Styela clava: one gene and its partner. Each later gene encodes a partner of the first gene's protein in a complex. Links are inferred from orthologs where the notes say so. Each region holds a gene or a part of one and is shown in the gene's direction. Other genes may lie near its edges.

What was found. The genes of interacting proteins can lie anywhere in the genome.
Region 2: general transcription factor IIF subunit 1-like (region 1) and DNA-directed RNA polymerase II subunit RPB11-a share a complex: the UniProt entries of both Homo sapiens proteins name them as parts of the TBP-based Pol II pre-initiation complex. The link is inferred for Styela clava from reciprocal best matches to the Homo sapiens genes GTF2F1 and POLR2J.

Annotation. Positions count from the first base shown.
Region 1 is NC_135256.1:18,128,578-18,135,523, forward strand, and holds the start of general transcription factor IIF subunit 1-like, read left to right. Parts: upstream 1-3,918; coding exon 3,919-4,149; intron 4,150-4,890; coding exon 4,891-5,007; intron 5,008-5,958; coding exon 5,959-6,078; intron 6,079-6,819; coding exon 6,820-6,946. UniProt on the Homo sapiens protein: TFIIF is a general transcription initiation factor that binds to RNA polymerase II and helps to recruit it to the initiation complex in collaboration with TFIIB. It promotes transcription elongation.
Region 2 is NC_135253.1:16,308,800-16,314,802, reverse strand, and holds DNA-directed RNA polymerase II subunit RPB11-a, read left to right. Parts: upstream 1-4,592; 5' UTR 4,593-4,607; coding exon 4,608-4,961; 3' UTR 4,962-5,490; downstream 5,491-6,003. Other genes in the region: zinc finger protein 277-like, read left to right, coding at 1,867-4,071. UniProt on the Homo sapiens protein: Core component of RNA polymerase II (Pol II), a DNA-dependent RNA polymerase which synthesizes mRNA precursors and many functional non-coding RNAs using the four ribonucleoside triphosphates as substrates.

The DNA of each region.
Region 1 (6,946 bases):
AAACGAAGTACAGTACATGGAAAAGTTGACCACGTTTTGGAAAATGTAAACAGATCATAAAAAAGCTCATTCATTTATTCCAACTCGTCGTCTGAATCTGCAAAAACATTATTGACAGCTAAACCAGCATAATATTAAAATATCGCGTTGAGAGAATACAGTATAGTGACGCATCACTCAATCGTATCGAGAGAACTGTGTAACATAAATAAACAAAGACGAAAAAGGCTTGAGCGAACTATACTACCGTAAGTAAACTATGGTAGTACCACAAGTCCTAAAGTCTGCAGGTGCAGAGTTGTTTTATTCGCACATGCGCCTTGAATACCTTAACTATTTTTTTAGTGTATACTGGATACACGATAACTAACAGTGTTTTACTATTATTGTATGACAACTCCTTTATCGAAATCCCATAAATTTACACTGAAATTTCCCTAACCACTTTCAGACTTTATTTTAGATTTTAGCAATGCTCAATCCTTTTTCGATTTTCATGGCTTGCTGCAGTTCTGGCTTTTGACTAACGTTAACTGTATTGTCACTTTATCACATTGCATTTCATCGCTTACGGTATCTAAGTGTTTTAGAAGTACAGCAGGTTTATGTTTTTTTGTGTTTGTGCTTTTGAGCGGGCACATGATCATACTCATGTTTTAAACTTTTTTGAAGGTTTTTCTATTATTTTGGTGCCTGATTTTGTAGTGATTAATATGAAATTAGTTCATCAGTTATATTTGACTGTAATTGCATGTCTTTTGCAACAAAGTAACAGCCAGCTTTTGAAAGCAAAAAATCGTGAGGTGGCCGGATTCACCAAATCGGATCAAGATAAATGGATTGCTCCATACACGTTCATACAAGGAACAGATCCTCAACCTGGCCTTATTGACACGATTTCTGGGGGTAATGGTACTGTTTGGGCAGAAGATATTCGACGCTTGAATGAAGCTGTATCAGATATTAATGATATTAAGGATAAACCAAAGTTCTTCTTCATTAGTGGGGATCTAGTTGATGCCTTTCCAGGAGTTGAACCTTATAGGCAACAGCAGATTGATGACGTTAATGAAAGCCTTGCAGATTTGCAGATACCTACTTTGGTTATCAGTGGAAATCATGACATACTGAATACACCCACTAGAAATTCGATAGAAGAGTTTAAACAGATATGGGGAGATGATTATTATAAATTTTATTGTGGAGGTGTTCTCTACATTGCACTTAACAGTCAATACTTTTATGATTCATCAGAAGTACAAGATCTAGCACAAGCTCAATCGGATTGGCTTCAAAATGAGCTTCAACAGGCCAAATTGGATGAAGACCTTGATAATATAGTCATTCTCATGCACATTCCTTTATTCTTGAAACATGGAGATGAAGATGATGATGCTTATTTCAATATACCTCGATCATTGAGAATGGATCTTCTTGACAAATTCATGGAGGCTGGAGTTAAAATTGTCTTCAGTGGTCATTATCATAGAAATGCTGGTGGAAAGTGGTCTAATGTGGTAAATGGAACGAACCTGACAATAGAAAGTGTTGTGAATTCTGCAATAGGTGCCCAACTTGGTGAAGATAAATCTGGATTGAGAGTTGTCAACGTAGAGTCGAAGGACATTACTCACAAGTATTACACGCTAGACGAATTACCAGATGCTTTAAATCATGGGCTTGAATTATACTTGAATTCTAAAGCAATCACCATAATACTATTGAATTGTACTTTCTTGAATTCTTATGCCTATAGGTAGAAACTAAAAATATTCTGCAATATACGTTTTACCTGAATTCTGCTGTTATTAATACTCAAGTGTTAAATTGCTTTAGTATTGGTGTGTTGAATTAAGCTTATGTATGAGATTATTATTGATGTGCAATCATGTTAGCTTATAATTTTTTTCAAGTTCAAGTGTTAGCAATGAATTTTATTTTATGTTAGTATCAATAAATGCAATATTTTAAATTATATTGTATTGGTGTGTTGAATTAACTTTATGAATGAGATTATTATCAATGTGCAATCACGTTAGTTTATAATTCATTTCAAGTTCAAGTGTTAGCAATGAATTTTATTTTATGTTAGTATCAATGAATGCAATATTTTAAATTATATTGTATTGGTGTGTTGAATTAACTTTATGTATGAGATTATTATCAATGTGCAATCACGTTAGTTTATAATTCTTTTCCAGTTCAAGTGTTAGCAATGAATTTTATTTTATGTTAGTATCAAGGATGCAATATTTCCAAATTATATTGTATTGTTGTGTTGAACTAACCTTATGTATGAGATTATTATTAATATGCAATCACCTAAGTTTATAATTCTTTTCAAGTTCAAGTGTTATGTTAGTAACAATGAATGCAATATTTCCAAATTATATCTGTAATTTTGGGTGTTCACTATCTTTGCTTTTCTTGCTTTGCAGAAAACTATCTTATAAAATATCTAACATGACCACAGCCCGGTATTAGAACCACTAGACTTCTCCTATTATCGTGAAAGTCGTAAAAAATGCTAAAATAATTGACATAACTTCATTTTCACAATGTTCAACCTGTTCTGGCATAGTTCTCATCAGGCACTACAATACAGTAATACTTTTACAGTTTTATGTTCAGTTTGGCAATTGACAGATTGAAGACTGTAGGCTTCATTATTTTAGTACTTGACACTCACTTGATTTTATAGCGACCAAGATGATGAAATTGGTTCATCAGTTATATTTGACTGTACTTGCATGTGTTTTGCAACAAAGTAACAGCCAGCTTTTGAAAGCAAAAAATCGTGAGGTGGCCGGATTCACCAAATCGGATCAAGGTAAATGGACTGCTCCATACACGTTCATACAAGGAGCAGATCCTCAACCTGGCCTTATTGACCAGATTACTGGGGGAGATGGTACTGTTTGGGTAGAAGATATTCGACGCTTAAATAAAGCTGTATCAGATATTGATGACATTCAAAATAAACCAAAATTCTTCTTCATTAGTGGGGATTTAGTTAATGCCTTTCCAGGAGTCGAACCTTATAGGCAACAGCAGATTGATGACGTTAATGAAAGCCTTGCAAATATGCAGATTCCTACAATGGTTATCAGTGGAAATCATGACTTACTAAACACACCCACCAGAAATTCAATAGAAGAGTTTAAACAGATATGGGGAGATGATTATTATAAATTTTATTGTGGAGGTGTTCTCTACATTGCACTTAACAGTCAATACTTTTATGATTCATCAGAAGTACAAGATCTGGCACAAGCACAATCGGATTGGCTTAAAAATGAGCTTCAACAGGCAAAATCCGATGAAGACCTTGATAATATTGTCATTCTTATGCACATTCCTATATTCTCGAAACATGGAGATGAAGATGATGATTATTTCAATATACCACGATCATTAAGAATGGATCTTCTAGACGAATTCATGGAGGCTGGAGTTAAAATTGTCTTCAGTGGTCATTATCATAGAAATTCTGGTGGAAAGTGGTCTAATGTGGTAAATGGAACGAACCTGACAATAGAAAGTGTTGTAAATTCTGCAATAGGTGCCCAACTTGGTGAAGATAAATCTGGATTGAGAGTCGTCAATGTAAAGTCGAAAGACATTACCCACAAGTATTATACTCTAGACGAGTTACCAAATGTTCTAAATCGTGGGCTCGAATTATAATTTACTCTGGTGCATTTTTGTAAAGCATAATACTATTGAAATGTAATTTCTCAAATTCTTATGCCTAAAGGTAGAAATTAAAAATATGCTGCATCATACATTTTACCTCTAGAAGTGCTGCTGTTATCAATACTTGAGTGTTATTGCTTCTGTATTAGTGTGTTGAATTAAGCTCATGTATGAGATTATTATTAATATGCAATCACATTCTTTTAAGTTCAAGTGTTAGCAATGAATTTTATGTTAGTATTAATGAATACAATATTTTCAAATTATATCTGTAATTTTGTGTGTTCAATATCTTCGCTTTGCAGAAAACTATCCTTTAAAATATTTAACATGGCCACTCCCAGTACTCCTGGTCAAGGACATTTTGATGAATACATTGTTAAAGTTCCAAAAAATACAACAAAAAAGTATAATGTCATGAGGTTTGGAGGAGGTGACAATATGGATATACAGGTACAATATTTATAACATTGTCATAATATTTTTTATGCCAGCTTGAGGTTGGAAGTGTTTATTTATACAGGATGACCCAAATAACGGAACCCAGGTCATTTGGAACATATTCCAAAAAAACACAACCTTCGTGTAAATCATCCTAGATTACTGAAAATTATGTGTACCATCATAAGCAAAGGTTCAAGTTTTAATTTTTGAGAAGGTTTTTGGATTCTGTTTTTGGGGGGTTCACCCTGTAAATACCACTCTGTTGGATAATTTCAACCAATTGAGTTGATTACTTTGTTATAATAAAACTGATTTTTCACGAGACTTGTACTACCCTCCACTCCAAGAATAAAGTTCTACAAGCAGCTATTGATAAATGGGAAGCTAATATTTTTAACGAATGGAAATCTTTCTGATTTTCCACTACTTACTCAATGTATCCTACCAGAGTTGAGGTGCTGAATATTGATTTTGAACCCAGTGGTGTCAGTATTGCTCCAGTTTTCCATCAATCATTAGGCCATCACATCCACTATGATGCTTCAATGAAATGTACTAGTTGATGCTGAAAAGAAAATTTTCTCAAATGTCACTATTTGGCTACAAACTCAGTTGTAAGAAATTGGGCTGTCTTGAATATTTATTCGTAGGGTACTTTGTTAAACAACCTTTTAACTTCTAGTTCTAGCTAATAACTCTATCCACCGATGTAAATTTAATATTAACGACAGTTTCTCCATTCTTTTTCAGAAATGGACCGGTGCCCGGATATCGAGAAATATGAGAGGAAAAAAGATTTTTCAAGAAGAAGAGGTTTATCCCGAGTTTGGAGCTGGAAGCGAATATGGAAGGAAGCAAAAAGAGCAAGTAATAATTTTTATTTTTTACTCAAATTAGGGTGCTCCCGAAGTATGCGAACCAAGATGGCGGACATCGGAACGTAACATGGGTAACAGGTTAGGGTTAGGCGATAATTTTTTTCCAATTTTCCTTATTTTAGTCCTATTATCAGTTCGAAGACTAGCCAAGAGCCTCCCGTAGTATTTATACCTAAAATTATGGCCTAACTCTAACATAGTACACATATTACATTCCGATGTCCGCCATCTTGGTTCGCATACTTCGGGAGCCCCCAAATTAGAGTACTATGCTAAACAAGGCCTGTGGAATCGAGGAAATTTACAATCGACTCCCGACTTGTGAAAAATTTGAACCAGATTTTGACTTTTGACTCCTCTAACTTACAGTTTTGTCTCTCAACTCTAGATCATAAAAAATTTCGACTCTGGAACTGGAACAAAACCAAATTTTGAAAACAAAAGCATTGGCATATGCATGCCTCGCTTACAGGCTGTTAAGAATGCTCAGCAAACTTGATGCTTTTTGAGTTTACAAAAAAAGTTTTGAATTTGACTATTATTATTAAATATTTACTGTAAGTATGAAATTTCGACTTACAGCTCCAGAGGATTCCAAATTTTGACTTTTTCTCCCGACTATGCCAAGCTCAAACTCTCAAATCTGACTCCACAGTTGTGGGCGAAATAAAATATAAACCTGGATTGCTGGATATCATCATAATCACACAAATACTCCCAACTACTAAGCACAGAATTTAACAAAATTTTATAATACGATTATTAAATATTTGAAAGAAAGAACTACAATCAAAAATGTATAGCTTAAAATATGGAAGTAGTGTTTTGACATACTAAACATCATTCATATTCCAAGCATTGTGTTCAACGACCTAATCGTTCCAAAATGTGGTTCACGCTATTAAATTTTATCATATTTTTGATGTTGCTAATATTTCAGGCTCGTAAACTCAAATATGGGATGAGGGTATCAAAATTTAAAGTAGAAGATCAACCATGGCAACTTTCTGTCACCACAACTGCTAAAGCACCGTATTCCCCCAAAAATAAAAACAAAGAGGTATGACTGCAATAATAGATATTTCATTCAACCGCTCAAAATTTATTAAAATTTTATGTTTGCTCCAAACAAGGCTCTTTATTTTTATACAAATATCATCAGAACAGAACAGGGTATTGAGGTATTGAGCCAACAACTAACTCAGTCTAGTCGAAGAGTTGTGAGTGACCAGAGTTGAAATGATTGCTATTTGGAACTTGGTAGTATTATGCTTCAACTAGTTAGTTCGAACCTGATACCTATAACTTGTTATAAAGCACGGGTTGTTTAATTTTAATACATGTGAATTTTCAATCTTTTTATATGGGTAATGAAACAACTTTCTGAATTCATTTTTTGTTGCATAAATCTCGTTGGATTAACTTTCATTTCTGTATTTACTCAATAATGAGATAAACTTAGTGTAGGTGAAAAGAGGAAACTCTGGGTTGAAAAATAGGTAAGCCAATAGTTCTTTTACATAACAATACTGTCTCATTATTACTTTCGCTCAACTAGGTTAGCTTGTTTGGGGCTTGTAATTGAATTTTAATAATAAGTACAAAAGGACCCAGAAAAACAGAACCCAAGTCATTTGGAACATATTCTAGACAGAATATGTGCAAAGCGTTCTAGAGTACTGAAACTTTTGGGTACAACCATACAAACAGGAAGGAGTTCAAGTGATAAATCAATCATCTCCATTTTTATGATATTGAAATTGTGTTTTTTTGGATCAACATGTGATATTATTTGTTGCAGAAAATGATATCGGTCACAAAAGATTTTGACGGTAAGAAAGAAGGTGGAATAGGAGATAGTTCGATGTATTATGTTTTCATGCAACGACCAAATTCTACATTCGAGGCTTATCCAGTCGAGTCATGGT
Region 2 (6,003 bases), on another chromosome or scaffold:
ATAACAGATAGTAAGGCGAAAGTATGTTGCTTTATCCAAAAAATACGTGAATGGAAAATGAATGAAAAGTTTTAAAATGTAAGTCTAAAAAAAAATTGTCTGCGATTCCACGCAATTGATGCATCCATAATTATACTCAAAAATACATATTCATGTAAAATTTGACCAATACCACACTTGATCAAGTGTGCAACATGTCCGAAATTCTATTTAACTTTAAACGCCTATATGTTATTGCCTATTCGCCCTATTGTGTATACGCGAATATTTTAGTAATTTTTCTTTCTTTCCGTGGAAATTTAATGTTGTTTTTGGACACACCTAAAATATGTTAAAACATATCTGAAGCATTTTTTATTCATGTTTATTGATATTAATGTTGGGTGGTAACTAGGGCTGGGCATTTTCGAATACCTGATGATTTCAGAATCGAATCGTATAATTTTTTCGAATCGAATCTCGAATACTTGAAAGGTATGAAATTGTATGTAACTTTCTTATTATTTTAGGTCCTCCAGACACATAAATTACTGGAAACATAGAATACATCCCTGACAATAAAAAAAAAAACGTTTCCATCAATACCTCAATACAGAAAAGAGTCATATGTCAGAATTGTGTTGAAAAAATATGGCTTCAATGAATTGAGAAATTTACCTCGACCATTGGCGGCAAGAGTAAAACAAGATTGCGGCGATTCGAAAATTTACTATTCGATTCGAAATGCCCAGCCCCAGTGGTAACAGACTCCGATGACCGCATGGTCGTATCGTTGCCACCCAGTCTATACCGAGAACTGTTTCGCTTTTTATTAATCATGTTTTTGTTGTGTATATGTTTTCTGGTGGACAAAACAAATAAACTCTCCCTCTACGCCCCTCTTGTGGAGCGCGCTTCACCGTTTGTCCAGAGCCATTATACAATGGCTCTGGTTTGACAACCACTGGTCTATACGAATCGCTTGTTATCCGGCGATATATCCATGTGCAGCTTTGCCCCACCGTTGCTCCATTATATCCACGAATTAAAACTACTCGGACTAGTATTAATACCTCATGAAAAGCTGCAGTATCTTGTAATATGTCTGAATCACCTCTTATAACATATAGAAATAAACTCGTAACTCGGTCCAACAAATAATTTACTTGAACAAATTGAAAAAGAACACCATGACTGCTCAATTGAAATTCATTGGCTTAAAGTTAATAACCCCGCCTCTAATATAGTATTTTGGGCACTCTCGTAGTGTGTGTACCAGGTTGGGGGTTAGGCCATAATTTACACAACTTGATGTAAAGTCGGCGAATAAGTTACCTCCATATTGGTACACACACTTCTGGAGCGCCGTATTTCATTCCATAGAAATAAAACTTACGTAGCCTACACTCTACAGCCCTACAATATTGCGCTCCCACGGCAGACTAGAATCATACAGGGAATAAACAGCCCGAAAGTTTAATATATTTGCGTATTTTTTCCAAGTCTCGTTTAACCGTAAATATATACTAATACGGTTTAATTCAACTAGGTTTGTGATTTTAACGTGTGTGTGCTGGTGAGCGGACACATGATATTTCTCGTTTTTTTTAAATTGTTTTGAGGGTTGTGCTCGCTTTCCAAAATTCGCCATTTTAAATTTGCGTGTAATTTCTATCTATGTGATTCGACAATCGTCATATTTTCGTTTCCCGGGGTATGTACGCAATCATGAAAACTTTTCCTATTTTGATAACAGCAAGGTAAATGACCTTGTAAATGGAATATATGTCGAATGTAACAACTACACATAGGTTTATAAATGGTTCATGTTTCAAATTATCAATACTGAATATATAAAATTGTGTATGATTAACTTTATTTATTCAAATGGAAAAAAAGTCATTGAGAAATCAGCGTTCGCTGACTTCGCTCGTTGGGTACGACGCAGACAGAAGAAATTCAGGAATCCGCTTGGTTGACCGCAATTTATCTCGATTGAGTGCGGCTGTGTCCAAAGCCCGTATACCGGTATTAGTTGTGTCTGCATTGACTCCTCTCGTTATGTCAATCGTGCCAAGTGAAGCTTCTGTGGAGGAGGATTTGCCTGATATAAATTTCAATATCCAGCTTGTTGAAAGTTCGAACAAAAGGGAAGACAAACGTCACCTTCCCGAAAATAAACAGGACAACGAAGATGGTAATTTATCGCAACGTGCTGAGGTGGAAGTTACGAAATGGAACGAGCCACAAGAACTCAGAACAGGCTCATCTGGCGCTGAAAATATCACGCCTGACAATTTATGTATAGATCGTGACGAAAGCGCTAAAATATCATCGCATTTAGACTTGAACACTTCTACACACCTGACAAATGTCGTTCGTGATAAATACCAAGACAACATGAAAAAAACTGAGTCGGGAGTTACAGAAGAATTGAAGAAAAATAATTGTAAAGTGAAGGAACTTGGAGATAGTTCGGAAATTTTTGATAATGTTGCAAATAACAATGCCAAGAAACATGTAGAAGATATCAATATTGAAAATGAACATGAAGGTATTCCACAAAGACAATCAAATGTAGATGATATTGAACTTGTAGATGTCACCAATGCCACTTTATTTAGTGAACGTATTTGTGACAAGGCAGAGAATGGTAATGAAAGCCTTAAATTGCTTAGTAAAAGTGATGAAAAAGAGACTCAAGATGAAGAAGAAAATTCAATACTCGAACAGAAGTTGAGAGAAAATATGAATGATAATTTAGCAAGGGATTGTATATTGGAACCTTTGTCATTTCCGGAAAAAGCATCCTTGCTTAATCAAATCACATCAGGTGAGGAAAAATTTCATCTTGTTTTCGAGACAGACTGTAGTCCCGAGGATACTCCTTGCGTACTATGTGCAAATGTTTATAAGGACATTGATCAAAAGTCACAATATGATGAATATTTATGCCATCTTGTGGTGGAACATAAATTGGTTATTGCAGATGTAAAACTTATTGCAAATTTAAGAGAATACGCAATATATTGGAAAAAGCGCTTCACTGAAAAACCGATTGAAGAATTTTGTGCTTCTATTAATACAAATATGAGCCCTAAAGATGTTGGTGAGAGTGAAAAATATTATTTATTATGTGATGCATTACCTGAAGATAGAAAAGTTCGCGAAGCACTACAACTCAAAAGATTAAAAGATCTCATTGAAGTACAAACAAAAGAACGTGAAAATGAAGAATTTGAAAGAATGTGCTTATTTTGTACAAAATTATTTATTGGAAATCGTAATGAGCTATTCAACCATATGAATGAAGATCACAATTTCAATGTTGGACATCCTCACAATTTGATATATGTTGAAGATTTTCTCGATGAGATTGAGAAAAAGTTGAGTAGTCTTGAGTGTCTCTTTTGTGACAAAGTATTCAAGGATCGTGCCTCATTACGAGAACATATGAGAAAAAAGTCTCACCGTCGACTGAATCCAAAGAATAAACTTTACGATAAATACTACATTATAAACTATCTTGAACTTGGTAAAAATTGGGAAGTTTTGCAAAGTGAGCCAGATCAGTTGGAAGGGAATGATGATTGGACTGGTTGGGAAGATGAAGGACAAACCGCAGTTTGTTTTTTCTGCACATCTTCATTCAATACACAAGATCGTGTTTTCGAGCATATGAAAAGAGTTCATGGATTCGATTTTCCTGAAATGCGCATGACAATGAACCTGAGCTTCTATCAACAAGTTAAGATGGTTAATTACATAAGACGTACAGTCCATCAGTTACGACAAAGAGAGAAACAAGAAAAGATTGACAACGTCGAGAATGATTCGGATAGTTCTCTTACATTAATTGATGCAATCACTAAAAGTGTAAAGGACTGTATATTGTCATCAACCAAATGGAATCAGCCTCAGTATTATTTTCCAACATATGAAAATGATACTTTACTATGTCAGCTTGAAGATAAAGAAGGCCTGTATGAACCTGAAGATAATTTCATTATTGGAGAAGATGGGATTGACTGTAAAGCAATAATTAATGAGAGCGTTCTTACTGATTTGGTTGTGAGGGGTTATTTTGACTGATTTTTTTTTCCTGACGTTTTTGATCATGAATTTTCGTGTTTTCAAATCTTTATTTTTTTCTTTTGTATATGCATTTTTTGGTTTTTACTACTTTATTGCATATTTTTTGGGGGGATTGTTTAAAAATTTCCATTGGTGCTATTTTTGACTGACATACTTTTGGTTTTTTTCGGACTCTTACATGCGTTTTGGGCTCGCCGATGTTTGAACTGCTTATTGTAAATTCGTAATTTGTATATTTTCTGTAAATTTGCCAAGTCACTGTCTTGTAAAATTGCCAAAATGTAGAATAAATACATTTATCATTACATTCTAGGTATAATTGAACTGAAGGTATGATACAGTATTTACTGAATACAACGCTCACCTGTAACTTTCATCATTATTTTTTTTGTGAGAGCATTTGACCTTGCGTAGAGCAAATTTCTTTAAAAAAAAGTTACATTCACTCATCTTTACAATGCACCTTTGTTTTAAAGATTTGGTGTCATTTCCTTTCAGATTTGTAGATAGCTTATAATATCTGTCTTTATGAAATGAATGCTCCACCAGCATTTGAAGCTTTTTTACTTTTTGATGGAGAAAAGAAAATCCAAATAACCAAGGACACGAAAGTGCCAAATGCTGCACATTTTACAATTAATAAAGAAGACCACACACTTGGAAATCTGCTCAGGATGCAATTGTTAAAAGATCCGAAAGTACTCTTCGCTGGATATAAAATACCTCATCCTCTCGAATCGAAATTCATTTTGCGAGTGCAAACAACAGCAGACTACACACCACAAGAAGCATTCACTAATGCTATTACAGATCTTATTAGTGAAATTTCATTACTTGAGGAACGATTCAAGGTTGCAGTGAGAGAAAAACAAGAGGGTATTGAATAAGTTGATTGTAGCAATGTACAACCTCTTGCAACGGCTTCGTTAAGTACCCTTATATGCAAGTTATTTTGCATTTTCTGCTGACAGCAGGTACTGCTGCACCTGACTGTGATATTGGATTAGAGCTAGTCTGGAATTTTTACCCATCCAAATTAAAGATTGACATGACTGTATGTTTTAAGTGCCAACTATCCAAAACACTCTCAAAATAGGCATTAAAAATTTTGCTATAGCAAAGAGTGGGGAAAATTTCTCAGGGGTCAAAGGTCGGGAAACATCCAACAATTTACTCATCTCGACTGAGCACGTATGGGTTTGTGTATACTGGTGTTACCATATTTTACACTGCAGTTTATGAGTTGCTTGTTAAATCCTGTCTACCTACATAAGTGGATGCCTAGCAATAACAATCTTTCGTTGAATATTGATGGTCACTACGCACTGGGCTTCATCACCTACCAAATAATATTCTGCCAACAAGTTTACTATATCAATTTAGAATATATTGCTTTTAATAAAGACATGGAATACACTTGATTGTATTAATGAAAAATCAATAGTTAGTAAAGTGAAAATTACAATTACTAGGTTCTACAGTGGAATCTAAAATGTCATGAGTACAATATGCTTGTTGTGGTAGTATAGAAAAATGTCATGCAATAACAGTAAAGAGCAAATAAAAAAAAAACATTGTGAAGGCCTGTCTGTTCCCAGGGATGCCAAGAATGTTTTGAATTGGGAAGATATTTATTACAAATAGCAAATGGTTAAAATATGAAGTGGGGTTTATGATATGTTCTGGGTTAGGATAATATTTTTTTAAAAGTTTAGAGCAGTGGCCTGCAAACTGCTACACCTGCAAACAAATTTTTTTTTTGTAGCTCTCTAACAAATTCACTTGTAATTCATAAAAAAGTTGCTCACAAATTTATTATTTGCTCATGGATATATGTCGTAACACGGAGTTTGTTTTGTAGTAATTATCCAATAGCCCTACTGTTTAGTTGAAATTAATACAGAAATAGAAGTCGCAGGTGATTGTGTA